Linked DNA regions of Nothobranchius furzeri. The protein of the gene in region 3 purifies or fractionates together with the protein of the main gene of each other region. This does not show direct contact. Links are inferred from orthologs where the notes say so. Each region holds a gene or a part of one and is shown on either strand. Other genes may lie near its edges. The genes, in order: irf9, proto-oncogene tyrosine-protein kinase Src and stat1a.

Region 1 (6,502 bases), on a different chromosome or scaffold from region 3:
TCTGGAGCTCAACGTCTGGTCACGTGTTTCCTCTCCTCCGGCAGGCTCTGCTGGCTGTGGTCCGAGCCAGCCCATGTCGTCTCTCCTTGGGCTCTGGTGACCTAGCCCAACGTTGCCCCTTCTTCTTCTCAGCCTCCTTTATGGTTGTGGGGGGGGGGGGGGGGGGGGGGGGGGGGGGACAGTAAATCTTCTCTCCTTCTTGCTTGTTAGTGGGCTTATCGATTCTAAGAGTCCACGATCTGTTCCTATAACACCATTAGCTCATTTGCACCTGGATTCTTATCCAAGATAAGGGATACCCCTCTTGCCCCCTCCCGTCTCAGGAAGTCAAGAGGTTACAACAGAACCGTGGGACCGAACCAGTGAAAGGCACGTCTTTAGCAAACACACACACACACACACACACACACACACACACACACACACACACACACACACACTTTTTAAACAAAGGAAAGCAGCCAGCATGATTTGGTTTTATCATAACTGAGAATGAATCCAGACTTGATCTTGTTTACTTCACAAGTCTGAGTCCATCAGCTGGGATGAGTTATACCAGAGCTCGGTTCTGGTCTGGAGTATCAGATAAACGTTAAACGCGGAGTGCTGCTGCGGTCTCATGAACACCAGCCATGGCAGACGTTCGTTTCCTGTTTCTGTCTGAGCGGCTCCTGATCACGATGTTTGTCTGTGACGTAGTTTACGAGTCAGGCCCGTTTCTGTCGAGTCAGCTGAAGCTCCAGGCAGACGTGTTGGGATCAGATCAGCTGGGTGGACTTTAGCCGTGTTCTGGGAGGCAGGTCTTTATTCACGCAGGGCGTCAACCTACCAACCAGCTCGGGTTTATGATGCAGCGGCTTCCACGAGTCAGGCTCAGCTGGTCGGTGACTCAGCCACGAGTTTTGTTTTTATACAGTCAAATAAGAGAAAAGGGATTATTTACTCCATCGGGTAACCTGATACTTTATTTTTTAAACTTTATTAAAACGGGGCAAGTCGGGCTTTAATGATAAAAAATTATTAATAATAAAAAATGAGCCGCACTTGTGTAGCGCCTCTCAGAGTCAGGACTCCAAAGTGCTTTACACTACAGTGCATCATTCATCCATTCACACACACATTCACACACTGGTGGGGATGAGAGGCGAGGCTGCCGAGCACAGGCGCCACCGGTCCCTCCGACCACCGCCAGCAGGCAAGGTGGGTTAAGTGTCTTGCCCAAGGACACAATAGCAGAATTCTCTGTCCGGAGCCGGGATCGAACCTGCAACCTTCCGATTACTGGACAACCCGCTCTACCTCCTGAGCTACTGCTGCTTTATAATAATAAAAAAAGTGAAACTTTAAGATAACAAAGCTGAATTTTACTCACACTCCCTCGTGTTGCTTTTTATGCACTGATCGGGGCAGTGGGCCGATACCGATTTTTGCTAATGATTTAAGTCTCTGATCGAGTTTAAAAAGATGATTCTGGAAGCAAACTTCCATGAAGACGACCTGAATTGTTCTGATAAGTTAGTTCTTAGGGAAAATGTACGTTTATTAAAAACCATCACTGCTTCTTGGCAGAGGGGCGTTGGCGGTAAGACCCTTTGATCAGGCTGAATTAATTCATTAGATTTAGTGAATCTGATCATTTAAAACAAACCTTTTGAGTTTAGTTTCACACTTTTGCATCAAACAAGCAATTAACTACAAATAAGACCAAATATGAGGAGGTCTTTTGGGTGCTTGAAATGCTTGAAAGTTTATGAAAGTGCTTAAAAATGTGACATAAATGATTTAAAGGACAATAACAGATTTGTACTGAGCAAAGAAGTAAAAAAACAGGTTTTATATTTAAATTTCACCTTAAATTAGCTTAAATATTTTTGTGAAGATCTTAAAGGTTTTAGATAAGGTCTAAAAATAGTTTTTCTGACGTAAAAGTGAATAATTCTACTGTTTTGTGGTGTATTTTATTTTATTTTTTTTTTTGCTTTAAATATAAAATAATTGTTTGACCTCATCATGTCGGGCCTTTCCCAGCTCAACGACGCCCGACTCAAACAGAAACTAGAAGCGTCTGAGCCCAGAAAAGCTCCTCGTGGTAAATGGTCTGTATTTGATATGGCGCCTTCTAGAGTCCTGAACCCCCCAAGGTGCTTTACAACACAATCAGTCATTCACCCATTCACATACTGGTGGGAATGAGCTACGATGTAGCCACAGCTGCCCTGGGGCGCACTGACAGAGGCGAGGCGGCCGAGCACTGGCGTCACCGGTCCCTCCGACCACCACCAGCAGGCAAGGGGGTTAAGTGCCTTGCCCAAGGACACAACGACAGCGACAGACTAAGCGGGGCTCGAACCTGCAACCTTCCGATTACGGGGCGAGCTCTTAACTCCTGTGCCACCGTCGCCCCCTCACGACTCAAATGAAAGGATGTTTGTGATGGTCTGAGGAGCACAAACCCAGTTCTGTTGGATCCGATCTCAGCAGAAGGGAGGTTTTAAACAGAACCGGCACCGACTAAAGAATTTCATCTGCTTTCATTTTTTTATCAGCCATCATTTAAACAGTGGCTCGTCCGCTCTCGGTCCAGGTGTGGTGATACCGGAGAAGAAGACCAGAGAGAAGAGCAGCAGGAAGCTGAAGAGGAGGAAGAGCCAGCCTGACGACGAAGACTCCGGTCGGGTCAGACTGATAAAGACAGAAGAGGTCGCGTCTCAGCCGGTGAGTCCTTCGGTCATCTGCTGTTCGTGGGATTAAAGGTTCTGGAGTTCCTCTGGGTCGTCATCGTTTCTGTTTGTTCTGATCAGCTGTGTGTGGACGAGCCGCTGCTGCAGAACCACGAGCCCGTCCAATCAGAGGGCCCGTCTCGGTGCACCACCATCAGCACCGGAGATGGTGAGTTTCCATGGAAACCGTTTTTCCCGTCTACCTTTAGCTTCTCTCTTTAAACGGGACGTGACCTCTGACCTTCAGCGGGTTCTCGGAACCTGTTTGTGTGTCTGATTCGTCCATCTTCTGTCTGCAGCGCTGGATGAGATCCGGTTGGACGTGCGGATCGAGGAGAGCGTTCCCAGCGCAACAAGCGGTAAGAGGAGCTCAGGGGACGCCCGTGTCCTGGACGGGTTTTGGGTTTTAATTCGGTCCTGTGTCTCTACAGCTGACGACTCCTTCGATGTGGCGATTCGTTATTTAGGACAGGAAGTCCTCAGACGTCAGATCCAAGGCACAGATGTCCGGATAACGTACCTGCCTTCCTCCTCCGTCCCTCCGACTTTGGCCGCCCTGAACGCCAGGTTTCCTCGGATCCCGCTGCCGGAGCCGCCGTCCTCGCTGCTGGCCGGGCCCACGCTGCAGGCGCTCCACACGCTGCTGCCCTTCATGGAGAAAGGAATCGTGCTGACCTCCACGCCACAGGGAGTGTACGGGAAGAGGTTCTGCCAGGGCCGGATCTTCTGGATGGGACCTCACAGCGTCACGCCGGGCCCACACAGGATGGAGAGGAACACGGAGCCGGTGCTGCTCTTCAGCAAGGACGCCTTCAAGCAAGGTGAGCGGGGCGCGTTCACCCTGAATCGTCATGGAAACCACCACACACAGAGACAGATGTTTCTGTCATGTCTCCTCAGAACTGGACCGGTTCTGCTCCGCCGGTGGGGAGCGTCCCCAGACCAGCTTCAATCTGTGTTTCGGAGAAGAGCTGAACAACACGGAAGACCTGAGCAATAAGCTCATCATCGCTCAGGTAGAACCGCGGCTCAGCAGCCTACGTCACGCCGCAGGGCGTGGATTTCAGCCCGTTGTCATGGTTACGTGTGAAACGCCTCCAATAAGCAGCTCCATTTATAACAGTTATATTTATGGTAGACAGCAGGTGTGTAGGAGGGGTGGGACAGGTGTGGGCCTGCTGCAGGTGTGTGTGTTGGTGTTGGTAAGGATGAAGCCCCGGGTGTCCTTCAGGTGTTAGATGCTTCTCTGCTCACACACCTGGTGTCAGACCAACGGGCTCCTGTGGATCATCTAACTGAACCTGCCGTCTGCTCCGTAGGTCTCTCTCCCGTGGGCCGAACAACAAGTCCAGAACTCCGTCTCCTTCTTCGAAACCATCTCGGTGTTCCAGACGCTGGCGGGCCAGTCTCCTCTGGGTGAGATCACCCTGGACATCGTCACGGTGCCGTAGTCCTGCGCCTGCTCCGCCAAAAGATCTGCTGCAGCAAAACCCACCTGAAGCAGACGCAGCAGGAGCTCCGCCCAGAGACTCGATGGTTCCTGCTGTTGCAGTTTTTCTTTTACGTTTAATCCAATTTCACAAAAGGACGGAGAGAAGATCCAGTTTTTCAGTTTAAAGCTGAAAATGAGTGAAGCACCTTTAGTGGGAACACTACACGATAACCCGGGGCGTCGTTGGGATTCACCCAGGCTGAGATCTGGTGTCACTTTATTTTTGAGGTGCTTTTAACGGTCGGCCCAGGTTTGTCTGTGCTGCATCGGCAACTTCAGACGTTTAGAGTGAAGAAACCACAAAACCACGTGGGCAGTGAAAATGACGTTTTATTGTTGTTAAATGCTTTAGTTCTCTTTTATTAGCTTTTAGAAATGATCGTTTTTCTCCTCAGAATTTAGTTTTTACTGATTTTATCTGAAAATGTTCATTGAAAAAAGAAACATTAAAACCGGCGCTCCAACATAAAACATTTTCTGTGAAACTCGCCTCAGATATTACTTCAGCATTACTTTTACCGTCTTAGAGCTCAGACTATAATCTAGATTATAAAAGGTTCAGATTGTTACAGAAAGGTCAGTCGAGTTTAAATGAGACTTAAATGTCCTGCAGCAAATACTTTTACTCTTAAACCACGCAAGGAGTTTTTAAGGATCACACTAATAAAAATAAGTAATAAATACAAGCATAAGCTAAAACATAATCCTTTAATCTGGGGAAATTTGTAGGGAATAATAATTTCATGCAGGTTTGATGCGACAGTAAAAAGCTCCAGCAGCTGAATTCGTCTAATCTGTCGCTGCAGGACTTTTACGTTCGAGTTTTTGCTTTTCCAAGATGATAAATCAGGAAAACGGGACCAGAAATAAACAAGAGGAGTAGCTTTAGTTCTTAAGGTGGATTTAATCCACCTTAAAAAGGGGAGAGATGTAAATATTCTATTATTTATGCACGTTTGTCTTTGTTCAAACACAAATAAATCCTGTCCTGGACTCTGCGCTTGTGAAAATCCACCTTTACAGAACAACACGACAGGCAGGTTTTACCACGGAATGATGCGGCGTTCCCATCTAAATGTTCCCATTAACTGGAGAGCAAAGCTCTGCTATCTTGCTGTTGAGTTTCTGATTGGTCCAGTCCCTGGTGATGTCATCCAGGTGGCTGTCGAAGTCTACCAAGAGGGAGTGGTCACCAGAATCCAGCATCTGGCTGGCGACATCCCGGATCTCCTCCCACTGCCGCAGCATGATCCTGAACAGACCCACGGAGATCATCAGTTACACGCGCCGGCCACTTTGATAGGTACACAAATAACCGATCAGCCAATCAGAAGGTGGCAACTCCGTGAGTTTAGTCATACAGGTGTGATGAAGTTTAGTGCTCGGCTCACGTGAGCCTGGTTTAAACCACAGACTACCCGAGTGGTGGTGGTGAACCTCAGGCCACCCCCCCGCTGATTCTTACGTGTGTTTGTCTTTGAGCGTCCATCTTGAATCTTTGCGTTCGTACATGACGATCGGAGGAACTCGATAATCTGGAGACATTTTGCTGCCGTCGAGCTGTGAGGAAACAAACCTGATCATAATCTGAGGGCAGAAGGTTCATTATTCATGAAAGACTCATTTAATAAAAACGTTCTGTTTCATCCGTTTTCTCACCATTAATAAAACGGCTCCATCAAACTGCTCAGCGATCTTATCAGCGATCTTCAGCGCGCACGGCGTCGGGCTGTCAGGAAACGCAACACGTTAGCGAGCGGTGGTGGGGTGTATCTGACCATGTGACTGGTGTGGAGAAGCTCACCTGCTGTCTGAGGTGCAGGCGTTGGCCTGATAATACCCGACTATCCTCTGCTGAGTCTGAGAACACCAAACATCCACCTGGAAAAACAAAAGCTTGAAATGTTCTGTGGAAGTTTAAAACATCCTGGAGAATCGAGCGGGACTCCAGGAAGTCTGGAGAAATAAATCCTGATTAAACAGGATCCACCTTCGCATTAGATGTCCTTGTTTTTGCACATTTAAACACATAGCTGCACCTGTGTCCAACTTGATGCAAGCTGAGACAAACATGGCTTTAGGTTTTAACCCTCTCAGGCTCTAAATAAGTTTTAATAAAAGGACGAACAACTAAGTCCTTCAGGGGTACTTCTGAGTTACAAAAATACTCATGAGATACGTGTGTGGAGTAACCAGGTAGGTAAGTTTTAACGTTGCAAATCTGAAACGCCTGTCTCCAGAGGGTTAATCTGGATCTGTTAGGACGACAGCTGCCCAGTTTATAAAAACA
Region 2 (6,502 bases), about 25 Mb from region 3:
GCTCCAAAATCTCCTGATAGCTAGCTGCATTGACCCTGCCCTTGATAAAATACAGTGGACCAACACTAGCAGCTGACATGGCACCCCAGACCATCACTGGCTGTGGGTACTTGACACTGGACTTCAGGCATTTTGGCATTTCCCTCTGCCCAGTCTTCCTCCAGACTCTGGCACCTTGATTTCCGAATGACATGCAAAATTTGCTTTCATCCGAAAAAGGTACTTTGGACCACTGAGCAACAGTCCAGTGCTGCTTCTCTGTAGCCCAGGTCAGGCGCTTCTGCCGCTGTTTCTGGTTCAAAAGTGGCTTGACCTGGGGAATGCGGCACCTGTAGCCCATTTCCTGCACACACCTGTACACGGTGGCTCTGGATGTTTTACTCCAGACTCAGTACACTGCATCTGCAGGTCCCCCAAGGTCTGGAATCGGTCCTTCTTCACAGTCTTCCTAATGGTCCGGTCACCTCTTCTCATTATGCAGCGTTTTCTGCCACACTTTTTCCTTCCCACAGACTTCCCTCTGAGGTGCCTTGATACAGCACTCTGGGAACAGCCTATTCGTTCAGAAATTTCTTTTTGTGTCTTACCCTCTTGCTTGAGGGTGTCAATGATGGCCTTCTGGACAGCAGTCAGGTCGGCAGTCTTACCCATGATTGCGGTTTTGAGGAATGAACCAGGCTGGGAGTTTTTAAAAGCCTCAGGAAACTTTTGCAGGTGTTTAGAGTTAATTAGTTGTTTCAGAGGATTAGGTTAATAGCTCGTTTAGAGAACCTTTTCATGATATGCTAATTTTTTTAGATAGGAATTTTGGGTTTTCGTGAGCTGTATGCCAAAATCATCAATATTAGAAACAATAAAAGGCTTGAACTACTTCAGTTGTATGTAATGAATCTAATATATATGAAAGTCTAATGTTTATCAGTACATTACAGAAAATAATGAACTTTATCACAATATGCTAATTTTTTTTAAAGGACCTGTAGCACTCCCGCAAATGTGGGCCATTGATTGCAAATAAGATTTGTCCATTTCCACACACAAAAAAGGGATTTTGCTAACAAATCCATTCCAGCCCATGTTGCAAAAATGAGTACACCCCAATTATAGTCTTAGGAAAAAAGCCACACTTAAGACTACAAAATTCTAATGAACAGGCATTCAACCACAGGTGAGTCTAATGATTCATTTAAGAGGTGTCCAGCAGACAGGTGACTATCTAAATGCATTACCTAGCAAAGAAAAGCTGTTCCCATTTCATACTGTCAGCAATGGCGCCACATGGAAGAGAAATAACAAAATCTGAGAAAGAAATCATTTCTTTACACAAAAAAGGTGAAGGCTACAAGAAGATCAGCAAAGCTTTACATATCAATCAAAATACTGTAGCAAAATGATCCAAAGTTTAAGAAAGATGGAAGAGCAACCATCTTACAGAGACGTCCAGGCCATCTATACAAGTTAACACTTCGACAGGAGCATCTTCTGATAAGAAGGGTTGAAGAAAATCGCCATGCAAGTTCACTACAGTTAGCTATAGCAGACCGTTTCCTGTGACACCATACGGCGCACACTGCAGAGGAATGGCATGCATGGGTATTGTCCACGAAGGAAGCTCCTCCTAAAGCCCATGCACAAAAAAACACTCCAAGTATTTGCTAGGGCCCATGCTGAAAAAGATTGACTACTGGGACTCCAGACTCTGGAGTGATGAGACAAAGATCAGTTTTTGGAACTAATGGTTTCAAAACTGTGTGCTGTTGTAAAGGTGAGGATTTCAAAGAGAAATGCATGGTGCCTACAGTGAAACACGGTGGTGGCAGTGTCCTTATGTGGGGCTGCATGAGTGCTGCTGGTGTTGGGGTGCTGGTATCATGAACTCAACAATGTACTACTCTATTCTGAAGGAGAAGATGCTGCAATCACTTTTCCAACACTAGCCTAGTGAACTAGACCAAATTCTTGCTTTGCAAAGAATGGTCTAGACACGCTCCATTGGAACCTCAGCAGCTCCTACCAGGACTCTGGCTGGCCAATCACAGCTCTCTAGAGGGGTTTCAAACACATAAAGAGCTGTGATTGGTCCATAATGGTGGGCCAATCATAGTGCTCTATCTGCTTAGTGAACAAATCACAGAGCTTTATCCGCTTTGTGGGCCAATCAGGGCACTCTATATGCCTGGTGGGTGGGATGATGCCACAGAGTGAAACAAGAGTATGTCACATTCATTGTCCAGTGGAATGCGGAGATCATTTGAAAGACAACGGTAGAACCCGCCCCACAACCGAGAGCCGTCAACGGAGCATGGCCAGACTAAATAATACATTTATTTAGTCTGGCTTGCCAGGCTATTCCAACACGACAATGAACCAAAACACACATCTAAAGCTACTGTTGCATTTCTGAAGAAGAACAGGGTGAAGGTGCTTGAATGGCCAAGTATGTCTCCTGATCTGAACCCAATCAAACACCTGTGGAGAATTCTGAAGCAGCAAGTTGAGCCTCAATCTCCATCCAGCATCCAGGCTCTAAACGAGGTTATTCTTGAAGAATAGAAAACGACAGATGTTGCAATATGTCGCCAACTTGTTCATTCCATGCCTAGAAGACTTGGTACTGTCCTTGAAAATCATGGTGGTGTTACAAAATACTAGATGTAGTAGATTTTGTTGGGGGTGTATTCACTTTTTGCTTCAACCAATTTTAGTAAAAGTTTGTGTGATCTATGTTATATTATAAAGCTTCATTTAATTTTAAGGAGTTAGACAAGTGTTCAATAAATCCCAGCCAAAATTCTGGAAATGGTTCTTTTGTTCATTAAGCAACTAATTAAATTCATACTTTTTAAAAGGGGGTGTACTCATTTATGCTGAGCACTGTAGATCTGAGTGTCCTCTATGCTACATCTATGTTGGTATTGAATGTCATCTTTATGGAAAATATTGTCAATTTAAGGAAGAGGTAGATGATAAACAGGAGAGATCCAAGTACAGAGGCAGGGGGAACACCAGAATTAAGGGGAGGATGGTTGAGGTGTAAAGCTTTAATCTGAACCAAAAATAATTTAATTTATGCCTGTCTGCCTGTATCTGTCCTGTCTATATATGTGTGTGTAACCTTGGTCAGGTTGTACTATGGAGTCAAGTTCCTATGCTCTGATCTGATCTGAGCGCTGGCAATAAAATTCATTCTGATTCTGATTATATCTGAAATGTATTTTTAACTAAATCTAGATCATTTTTTACAGAAGAATTCTGTATGTTTTAATTTAACCATTTATTAGGTCTATATTCAGCTTTCTAAACCTCTTTGTTTTACAAAAACCTGCCACAATCTAATTTCCTACCTGACAGCAGTCCTCTGTAGGGTGATATGACACTTCCCGTGTGGTCCACTCCTCCAAAGAGAGACAGTTCAGGGGTATTTGTCGGGGCAAGCTGGCGCTGCCCTTGTTGTCCCCGACGGCCCGTCCCAACAGCAGGGCTTCGATTGGGGGTCTGGGTCTGCTGAGTGGAGTCCAAGTGGTGGAAGCGTCCGCTATCGGAGCCGGTGCCTATGGTCCCGTCCAGGCTCATGGAGCGCTGGCCTGGCTCCTTGGGCTTGCTTTTGCCCGCCCCCATGTGCAGACCTGGAACAAGAGCCAACCATCAGAAAGGATACGGTAAGACCAAAAGCTGCTACAAAAAGTAAAAGCGTCAAAAATCAATTTTTATGCAAATGAAGGGTCTCTCAGCTTTGTTATGCATTTTTCTTTCATTTTAAATGTGTTTTTTTTATAAGAAACACATTTTTTTGTGTTTCATCATGTAATGAAACACAAAAACATTCAGTAAAACTGGATTTCACTGTGGTTAAAATTATTAGTCTTCTTTAAAGCAAAGAAATATGGTTTTAAAGGATTTTCCTCAGGAACTTTTAACATATTTACCCCCCCCCCCCCCCCCCCCCAAAAGTTGGCAAATCAGTCAACACATTTATTCCAGCTCTCCCGATCCACCAGAATATCCCTGGAGCTGTTCCCAGGTCAGTTAGAACTGCTTGCGTTTACAGTAGACACAAACCACACACACAATCAGAATCCAAGGTCGTGCTTAACGGTTTAAATCAAGTTGGAATCAATAAGCATCAACGAGGTAAACAAAGCTGTAAACAGAAAGCAGCCATGGGTCTCAACGACGCAAAGTATTAATGCTGGTGAGCCGACAAGGGCACAGAGGTGTCAAATATATCTGTTACATCCCGATAAACGCAGCGAGTCGAGGGTGTGCTGTCAGTAAGCACAAAGACAAACAAGCTCACAGTCAAGAGCACCCACAGAAAGTTGGAGAGCCTTGTTCGCACACCGGTTCTGTTCCTCCCCTTCAGGCTCTGTGGAGTGACTCACTGGGAGACCAGCTATTTCAGGCCAGCTGAAACAAGACAGTCATACACACATGAAACACAGTCTTGTTCCTCTGAATTAAAGCACTCTCGATTCCAGACAAGAGCGCGCCAAAGTGCATAGGGGTGGGTGTGTGTGTTCATGTGCATTAGCAGCTGTTCCCTCGCATCTAGGAAACTAGGCTCAGCTGCACACTAGCACCCAAGTACAGTTGTGTCTCACATCCTTTTTTCCTTTCCAACACTTGATAGTTTCCAACACACACCGACAGACAGACAGACAGGACAGGACAGGGGAGGTTATTAACAGACACGGAGGAAGGAAACTGGCTGTGGCTTTAAAAAGAACGTGTGGGTGGTTGTTATGTACTGCCCGGACAGCTGAGGCTTAGTGGGTGTTTAAAGTGTGATGTGTGAGCATAACATAATTACACAGGTATGGGAATTCTCAGAGACATGGCAGCATCCCACTGAGAAGACATGTGGGCGACTCAGCTTCTGAGGGAGCGTGAATGTGCACAAATGTCAACGTGGGGGTGGGGGTCAGGGGTCAGCTTTCGCATTAGGCATTAAGAACTAAGTCAACACTATTAAGAACTAAGTCAACACTGGTTTAAAACTTACCAGAGGCACACGTGCCACACCTAGACTGCCAATACAAGCAAATAGGTAGGATGCTCATGCATATCAGGAATGTATGCAAAAATCCTCTTAAAGGTCATTTCAGGCTGTGTATGAGCGCAGGGCTAGATAATAGCACCTCATACAGAGAGCTAAGAAAGTAGGAAAAATACTATGATTTAGACTGATTACTATGTTGCTTCATCAGTATGCGTCTGCACTGTCAGTGGGTGGTGCCTACCTAAAGTGAGCTCACTTTAAAGGGCCTAAACACAAAAAACATGAAAGGATCAAGAACAGACGAGAAATTCTCAGCAGATACAGATGTTGCAACATCTAGTGGGACATGAGAAGCAACAACAAGTTCTTCCAAGGCTGTAAATAACCTCTGATGACAAAAGAACATGTTTGCTTTTACATCCATGTTCACCTGAAAGCCTGCGTGCAAATGAGCTCCTAAACATGACACATGAGTCACCGTTTACTCAAGCATGACAACCACTCAGATTGATCTGGAAACAGGCAAGGATACATTCCTGAAATGTTTTTTCCCAGTATGCATCAAAGCCAAACTGGATGATCTAGATGAGGGGTGGAACAGCAGCAGGGTGAGAGCTCAAGCTAGCTTGGGCTCGAAACAGACACATTAAACTGACCCAGGGGTCTCTAACCAGCGGCTCTGGAGCCACAAGTGGCTCTCTGGACCTTCCATAATGGTTCTTAATAACTATGACTACAAATGAGAGAAATACAACTGACCCATGTTCATAAAAACAATTTTAAAAAATGCAGATTTAAGTTGTTTTCAGTTTTTTTTATGGAATTGAAGTTCCACAGCAACAGCACTAAAAATACCAGAAGTATTTTTATATCTGTGTTTTATTTGTTTCATTTCCAACAAATCTCAACATGCCATGAAAAAAAAATATCCAAACTCCTTTTGCAAAAGTGTTTGTTTCAAGAAATGATCTCTAGAGTAGACACTAGCAGAAGAGAAACAAAGATCTCAGACTTTATTCTCAGAAAAACCTCAGAATCCTGACTTCTGAACTATTATGTTTGTTGATCACTTTGTCTTAGAGCTTGAATAAGATAAGCAGAAAAATTAAAAGGCTGCATTGATGCTGGACACGTTGTGAATTTTGGTTCATTTTTTTTCTCTTAGCTTTACAACCATGGTGCTCCTAACTATGGATGGAGGGAAACAAAAAAAAAGGGAGTAAAACCATCTACATAAATATATGGACAATGGGTTTCCATAGGCTTCAATAACAAGTTTTTCTGCTAAAATGGGAGGTAGCCACCACCGCCATTTTGACTGTGTCAAAGGTTCCGTCAAGCCCAGACAATTCCATAAAAGGGAAGAGAGGAGGAGCTGAGGGTGACGTTTAGACAGATGTTTGTGCAACTTAAGAAAGACAAAAGAAGCTACTGCTCATCTGTACTCCGTTTGGAGACAGACTTCCAGTTTGTAAACAGCAGCATTAGAAGCCCTAGGCTACG
Region 3 (6,502 bases):
GTGTTGTCAAAAAAATCAATACCTAGATATAAATCGATACTAAAGTGGTATCTAAATTAGATATTCCATCCCTGTGGTATCGATATTATGGACTATTATACACAGCCTTCTTCAAGTACACCGACACGCACGACAGCCAGATGCCGTAAAGCAGCCTCTGCCTCCCAGACAAACAGAAGAAGAAGACGCCGCATGGCTACATTGCAATTTTCCACGCGAGTTGTCTCCGATCCAAGTTTTGTCTGCCAAATAAATAAACAAAAACATAAACAGCGAATTTGGGAGGCGCTTCACAGCCCAACTTAATTAGCATACCAAGTCCGACACGTAGTTGTATATTCACGCTTATGTGCTTAAAGGAAAACTCCCGTTTATTGCAACCCAGACTTAATTTCTAGCATGCAGTATGTTTGTTTACTCACGCTGACAACTTTGGTGCTACTTGGATTCCCCGGAGTATTTAGATCCGTCGGCGAATCGCCGTCAGCGTATATCCATATAACGGGTGCGGACGGGCACCCATGGTGCAGCCTCGAAATAAAACATTATCTGCACCAAAACATCTCAATGTCGAAAGGTTTTGTTAGGAATCATTAACGTGATTCCCCTGTTCGTTTGGAGCGAGTCTGGGATTTCTAGGCGTAAACAGACTAGCCGCGGCTAATCTAACCGGCGCTTTTAATGACGTCACCGCCGTGCGCCAATCTGTTTTTATTAGATTACCGGTAGATGTACCTTTGTCCTACTGTGGAGAAATTCGTTTTCTCCCTTTATTGACCAACAGAGTTGTTCAGAAGTACAGAACAAAACATATGGCATTACAGCTTATGACAAAAATGCACCTTAAACAGAGTTTAAGCAGCAAAACATCACTCTGCAAATAGTGTATATATAGTGAGACAATTCATGATTTAAAGTGTTAACTTTCGCCAGTTTTTGTATGCATGTTTTAAAAAATGCTGATACTTGAAAGGTTTAAGCACTTAATGCACTTAATTCTTAACATTTAATTTTTGCAATATAAATTGAGGAATGTTATTTTTGAATAAACTTGTTCAATAAATTGGTGTTTTCAAATAGTATCAAAATCGAGTAGAGTTTTTTTCCAGTATCGAATCGAGTTTGAAATTTTAGTATCGTGACAACCCTACTCCACATACCTATTTCATGATCATTTTTAACTCAGAAGTACCCCTGAAGGACTTAGTTGTTCATCCTTTTATCAAAACTTATTTTGAGCCTGAGAGGGTTAATCATTTAGTCCAGTTGATGATACATTAAACTGAAGGTGGGGGAAAGTCATTTAATCATTACATTTGCAGTGGTCTGGTAGGAATGAATGCCTAGTAAGTCGTACTCGGAGGAAAATAAAGCCCAGAAATGCTTGGATCAGCACGGGCAAGTCTGCTGCCTCAGAGAGGGGCAGCAGACTGTCTATCAGAAGCTAATGCAGGAGATAGGTGTTGGAGACTATTTTCAGGTTCAGCCTGCATGAAAATCTCAGCGTGACCGATTATAATCAGAAATAATCATGTAAGATATTTTTCAGTGGTTTTCCAGGCCCAATCCCAATACTCGTACTTCCACAATTGCACTCTTCAATTGCGCAATCCTGACCAAGGGTGCGAGTGCGTAAAGTGTCCCGGTTCTCAAGTGCGGAAGTTGACCATACCCCTTTTGCACCCTTGATCTGCGCTTCACCCAAGTCCGCATCAATCCAAACTTGGGTGAAGTTTATTACCCACAATCCATTGCTTAGGGAGAAAAGGCTCAAGTGCCTTTTAAATATGTATTTTCAAATTAAAATACTTCATTTTAGGACGATTAGTTGATGCTCTGAATGTTTTAGACAAAGCAGCAATCATTGTAAATGTATTTAAAATAATTGTTTGAAAATTGTTAAAAACAATAAAAATAAACTTTATTAAGTAGCACAGCGACCAGCATCCCAGCATGTGTTGCGGTTGCTTACACAATGCTCCCTGTCGCAATTCTGCAATTATTTGCTCACTTAACACCTTAATGCGTTTATTGGGATTGGGCCTCAAGCTCTTTGTCCCCTAATTTCCTAATTTATCATGCACCTGCTCTTGTTCACCAGAAGATGGCGCAGTGGGTCCAGCTTCAGATGTTGGACTCTAAGTACCTGGAGCAGGTGGACCAGCTGTACGACGACTCCTTCCCCATGGACATCCGACAATATCTGAGCAGGTGGATTGAGAGCATCGACTGGTAAGAAGTCCAACCCTAGATGGAAAATCACTGTCCGGGTAGAAAACTAAATAAGGGGCTGCTGCGTCCCTGCAAATCATGTTGTCCCCTTTGGTCAGCTGATCAGCTGCTTCTGAGAGTGATATGGATGAAGCGTAATAGGGCTGCAACAACGAATCGATAAATTCGATGAAAATCGATTACTAAAAGCGTTGGCAACGAATTGCGTCATCGATTCGTTGTGTCGCACAACTCTTCCAAAAGCCCCCCCTCCTGGCCGCCATTGCGCGCAGACTGGAGCAAGTCAGATCAGCGCGAGGGAGAGCCGGCAGGTGTTTGGAAGAGGAACATGGCAGAAGCAGCAAGACCCAAAAAAGTAAAAACTTCTAAAGTTTGGGAGCATTTTCAGTTAAATCAGGCGAAGACATTCGTTACCTGCAACGTTTGTAGGTCAGACTTAGCATGGCACGGGAGTACTGCAGTGATGATGCAGCATCTTAAAAGCAAGCATGTCGGAATCATCAGCGAGGAGGGAGAGAGCTCTTTGTCCGGGTAAGTTAAAAACTTTTCAAAAGTGATTCACCCAAGTCCCGGATTATTACACAGGCTAGACATGCCCTAAGCTCGTTAAAAAAAGTCTATAAAATCGTAAGCGCAACGCTATTAGATAAAGGGGGGGGGGGGGGGGACTCGCGCTGCTGCGAACCGGTTCCGCCGTCACATTCCCGCAGAAACTGGTTGATCACACCGGGGCCAGACTACTAGCACCACAATGTCCTCAGAAGCGAAAACGCTTTTAAAAGGGAGGGAGGAGTCCTAACTGTTGCTGCAGGCGTGTTGTGTGAGAGTGCAGTTATTTACTGGTTAATATATTTTTGGGTTCAGTTGCTTTCATGTGGCCTAATGTGAGTCTATTTGGGATCATTGGAATGATCAGCAGCATTTCTTGATGTGACTTTATGGCAGTTGCCCAGGGCATCATCGTAAGGAGGATGGCATTCATTTACTTTTGTTTTATTTGGTATTTTTTCAGTCATTTTTGGAAATAGTGATTAATTTTGATTAATTCACAGCCTATGTTTAATTACATTTAAAAATTAGTTGTTTAACATCCCCAATTATAATAAATGTCTGCAGATGAGATCAAACAAAACAGATGAGAATTGCCCTTAAAGAGCAAGTCACCCCCAAATAAACTTTATTTTTTGCTGATAAACTAAATAAATGAGTGTCTAATCGTGCTGCAGACACGTGTCGTCAATAATTTGGCACTTCAGTGTAGGGCTGCTCAATTAATCGAATTTTAATCACGATTACGATCTGAGTTTTGAACGATTATAAAAAACAAAACAAGCCGATTATTTGCTCCTCCCACTTGCGCTGCCCTGAGTTGCAAATGAAGCGCTCCTCACAGTGTTGCCAACTTAGCGACTTTGACGCTATTTCTAACAGCTTTTTAGACCCCCTTCTTGACTTTTTAAATCTTAAAAGTACCTAGCGAACATCTCAGAAACATCTCTGGTAACCTTTAGCTACTTTCAGGATAACTGTCGTTGATGTTTCCTGCAGGTTAGCTAAACACTCTGCCTGAGCTCCGGACCGTTCTTCACAACATTAGGAAAGGGAATGATGTAGTGATGTGTCGGTCGCTACAGAAACGGCTCTCAGAGTTGGCTCTGTTGGATTAACCAGAGTGAGTGACACACACACTGTAACTTCTGAGCCGCTAAAAACGGCTAAATGTGCGCGTGCGGCGCGCTAAACACACGTGCAGCTTGCCCCTGATTGCTGTGAGACCGGGTTGGGAGGTGGGGGGTGCAGCTGTGGTTGGGACAATTATTACATTAACTGATGGACTTGTAAATAACTAGTTTATAAATAAGGTAGAAATAAGTTCCTCACGCTGATAAACAATAACTAATCTCTCTGAGGAGACAGTGCTAGTGCACGCTCCTACAGCACCTTGACACGACTCAATAAATGTTATACAACATTTTGTGAACATCAATTTATTTGCATTTATTTGTTATAAATGCCACTGTATAATTCTTGCTGTCAGTATTTGCAAGATATTGGTATTTGGGTCTGTACTGGTTAGACTTATATGAGTTAAACCAAGGTCTATAGCCCTTGTGTCATAAACTATGAGCTGTAAGTATATTGGTCTTTTTATACTGGGAATCAGGAGTTATTTTAGTGATCATCTTGTTTCTTATCACACACCAGCTCAGTGGTCTAGTGGTAGAGTGTCCGCCCTGAGACTGGGAGATCAGGGTTCGATTCCTGGTCGGGTCATACCAAAGACTTTGAAAAAATGGGACCCAATGCCTCCCTGCTTGACACTCAGCATTAAGGGTTGGATTGGAGGGTTAAACCACCAAATTGTTCCCGAGCGCGGCTGTGTCTGCAGCTCACCGCTCCCCCAGGGGATGGGTCAAATGCGGAGAACAAATTTCGCACACACATCAGTGTGTGTGACAACTAATGGGACTTTAACTTTAACTTTATTTTGTCCTGATTGTGCCCTGAGCAATTTTATGACTGAATAAAAACAAATAAAATCAACATAAATAGAAAAATCGTCTTAAATAATCGAGATCTCAATTTCAGTCACAATAATCGTGATTATTATTTTTGCCATAATCGAGCAGCTCTACTTCAGTGCATCTTAGTTCAAATTTAAATATTCTGCCTAAAACTGGCAGTGTTGTGCCGTTGTCAGGTAAAAACTCTGCACTGTATTTTAATTTAAATCTGCCACCGCTATTGGCTAAGAAGTATGCTATGATGTAAACTGGTACATTATGATGTCACAATGCTGTCGTGAGCCTGAGTGTGTGTGTATTTGTTAGCGGCTCCGCCCTCTCGGTCTGCCAGGCAACAGCATTTGTTGCATTTTTCAAACATGAAGTGGGAGTGGAGTTAGACTCTGGTAGGGGTTGACTTGCTCTTTAAGCTGTTTAACTTGGACCAAGCATTTTAGGTCACAGATAGGTGTAGCTTAGGGTCTCTGCCTATACACCTTGTAAGACAATTTAGGTGATGGCATGTTGTTTTTCTGCTATTGAACTGTTTTCTAATAATGTTGTGTTTAATAAAGTGAAGGAAGGAGAGAAATAACGTTTCCCTAGCAGTTTTTAAAATTGTCCCTATGTAATCCGATTAATCGTGTCGAGACCCCATCCGATTCATCGATTATCCAAATAATCGTTTGTTGCAGCCCTAAAGCGTAAGTCAGTGTTTCCCCTAGAATTGTTGCCAGTCATGTCGCCTGGGTTCTGCTCGCAAAATGCTACAATGCTGCGTCTCCTGTGGGGGGTGTCTCGTAGATGTGGTGCTAGAATTTCAGCCGTGGTGCAGCTCCACTCCTGCGCCTATGCAGGAGAAACTGTAAGTTCAGTGGAGACCATGTCTTTGCTTTAACTGCTCCTGAATTATGGAACCACCTTCCCTTGGACATCAGGCAGTCCTCAACCCCATCTTGTTTAACCCTAACCCTACAAAAGGCATTAGCTTTAAATTGTTTTTCTTTTTTTTTTTATTAAACTTTTCATTTTTATCTTGACTGATTGCATAATTATTTTTCCTTACTTGTAGGTCTTTTTGCTGTAACTATTTTTATTACGTAGCCTGTTTTATTATTTTTCTACACATCACTTTGGTGCTGTAGGTGTTTAAAATGTTTTATAAATAAAGCTTTTATGAACGGTGCCCTTCAACATCTGGCGTAACCGTGGTGGGACCTCTGTAAGATAACTCCGTTGTTGTTTTGGATCTTCTTAGGGATACGGTGGCATCACAGGACTCCCTGGCAACTGTTCGGTTTCACGAGCTCCTGGCTCAGCTGGATGATCAGCACAGCCGCTTTGCTCTGGAGAACAACTTCCTGCAGCAGCACAACTTCCGTAAGATCAAGAGGAACCTGCAGGTCAGAGCCCCACGTTCTCTACTCGTGTCAGAGTGAGTTAAAACTAAGAAAGTGACTGCGTAAACATGGAGCACTTGTTTCTCCAGGATCGGTTTCAGGAGGACGCCCTCCATATGGCCATGATCATCTCCAGAAACTTGAAAGAGGAGCAGAAGATCTTGGCCAATGCAAAGGATTCTGTGGTAAGACCTGCAGCTAGACTCTGCTTTAATCCATCTAGATTTTATTTAAAGATGCTTTAATCATGAATTTGACAATGCTTCTGCAGCAGGAGAAGGAGGGGACGGTTTCAGCCATGGTGGTGGAGAAGCAGAAGCTGGACAACAAAGTGAAGGAGATGAGAAACATTGTTCAGGTGAAACA

What was found.
Region 1: the proteins of stat1a (region 3) and irf9 purify together in Homo sapiens (affinity purification with western blotting; 5 studies listed by BioGRID and IntAct, with this or other methods). This does not show direct contact. The link is inferred for Nothobranchius furzeri from reciprocal best matches to the Homo sapiens genes STAT1 and IRF9.
Region 2: the proteins of stat1a (region 3) and proto-oncogene tyrosine-protein kinase Src purify together in Homo sapiens (affinity purification with western blotting; 3 studies listed by BioGRID). This does not show direct contact. The link is inferred for Nothobranchius furzeri from reciprocal best matches to the Homo sapiens genes STAT1 and SRC.

What each region holds. Positions count from the first base shown.
Region 1 is NC_091747.1:62,724,597-62,731,098, forward strand, and holds the end of irf9 (interferon regulatory factor 9), read left to right. Parts: intron 1-2,584; coding exon 2,585-2,715; intron 2,716-2,801; coding exon 2,802-2,889; intron 2,890-3,019; coding exon 3,020-3,079; intron 3,080-3,151; coding exon 3,152-3,541; intron 3,542-3,620; coding exon 3,621-3,736; intron 3,737-4,039; coding exon 4,040-4,171; 3' UTR 4,172-4,692; downstream 4,693-6,502. Other genes in the region: emc9 (ER membrane protein complex subunit 9), read right to left, coding at 5,284-5,464, 5,678-5,772, 5,872-5,941, 6,017-6,093.
Region 2 is NC_091743.1:58,649,066-58,655,567, reverse strand, and holds part of proto-oncogene tyrosine-protein kinase Src, read right to left. Parts: intron 4,408-6,502; exon of another isoform or gene 4,314-4,407; intron 3,627-4,313; 5' UTR 3,619-3,626; coding exon 3,345-3,618; intron 1-3,344. UniProt on the Homo sapiens protein: Non-receptor protein tyrosine kinase which is activated following engagement of many different classes of cellular receptors including immune response receptors, integrins and other adhesion receptors, receptor protein tyrosine kinases, G protein-coupled receptors as well as cytokine receptors.
Region 3 is NC_091743.1:83,712,402-83,718,903, forward strand, and holds part of stat1a (signal transducer and activator of transcription 1a), read left to right. Parts: intron 1-2,101; 5' UTR 2,102-2,104; coding exon 2,105-2,232; intron 2,233-5,994; coding exon 5,995-6,139; intron 6,140-6,225; coding exon 6,226-6,321; intron 6,322-6,407; coding exon 6,408-6,494; intron 6,495-6,502. UniProt on the Homo sapiens protein: Signal transducer and transcription activator that mediates cellular responses to interferons (IFNs), cytokine KITLG/SCF and other cytokines and other growth factors.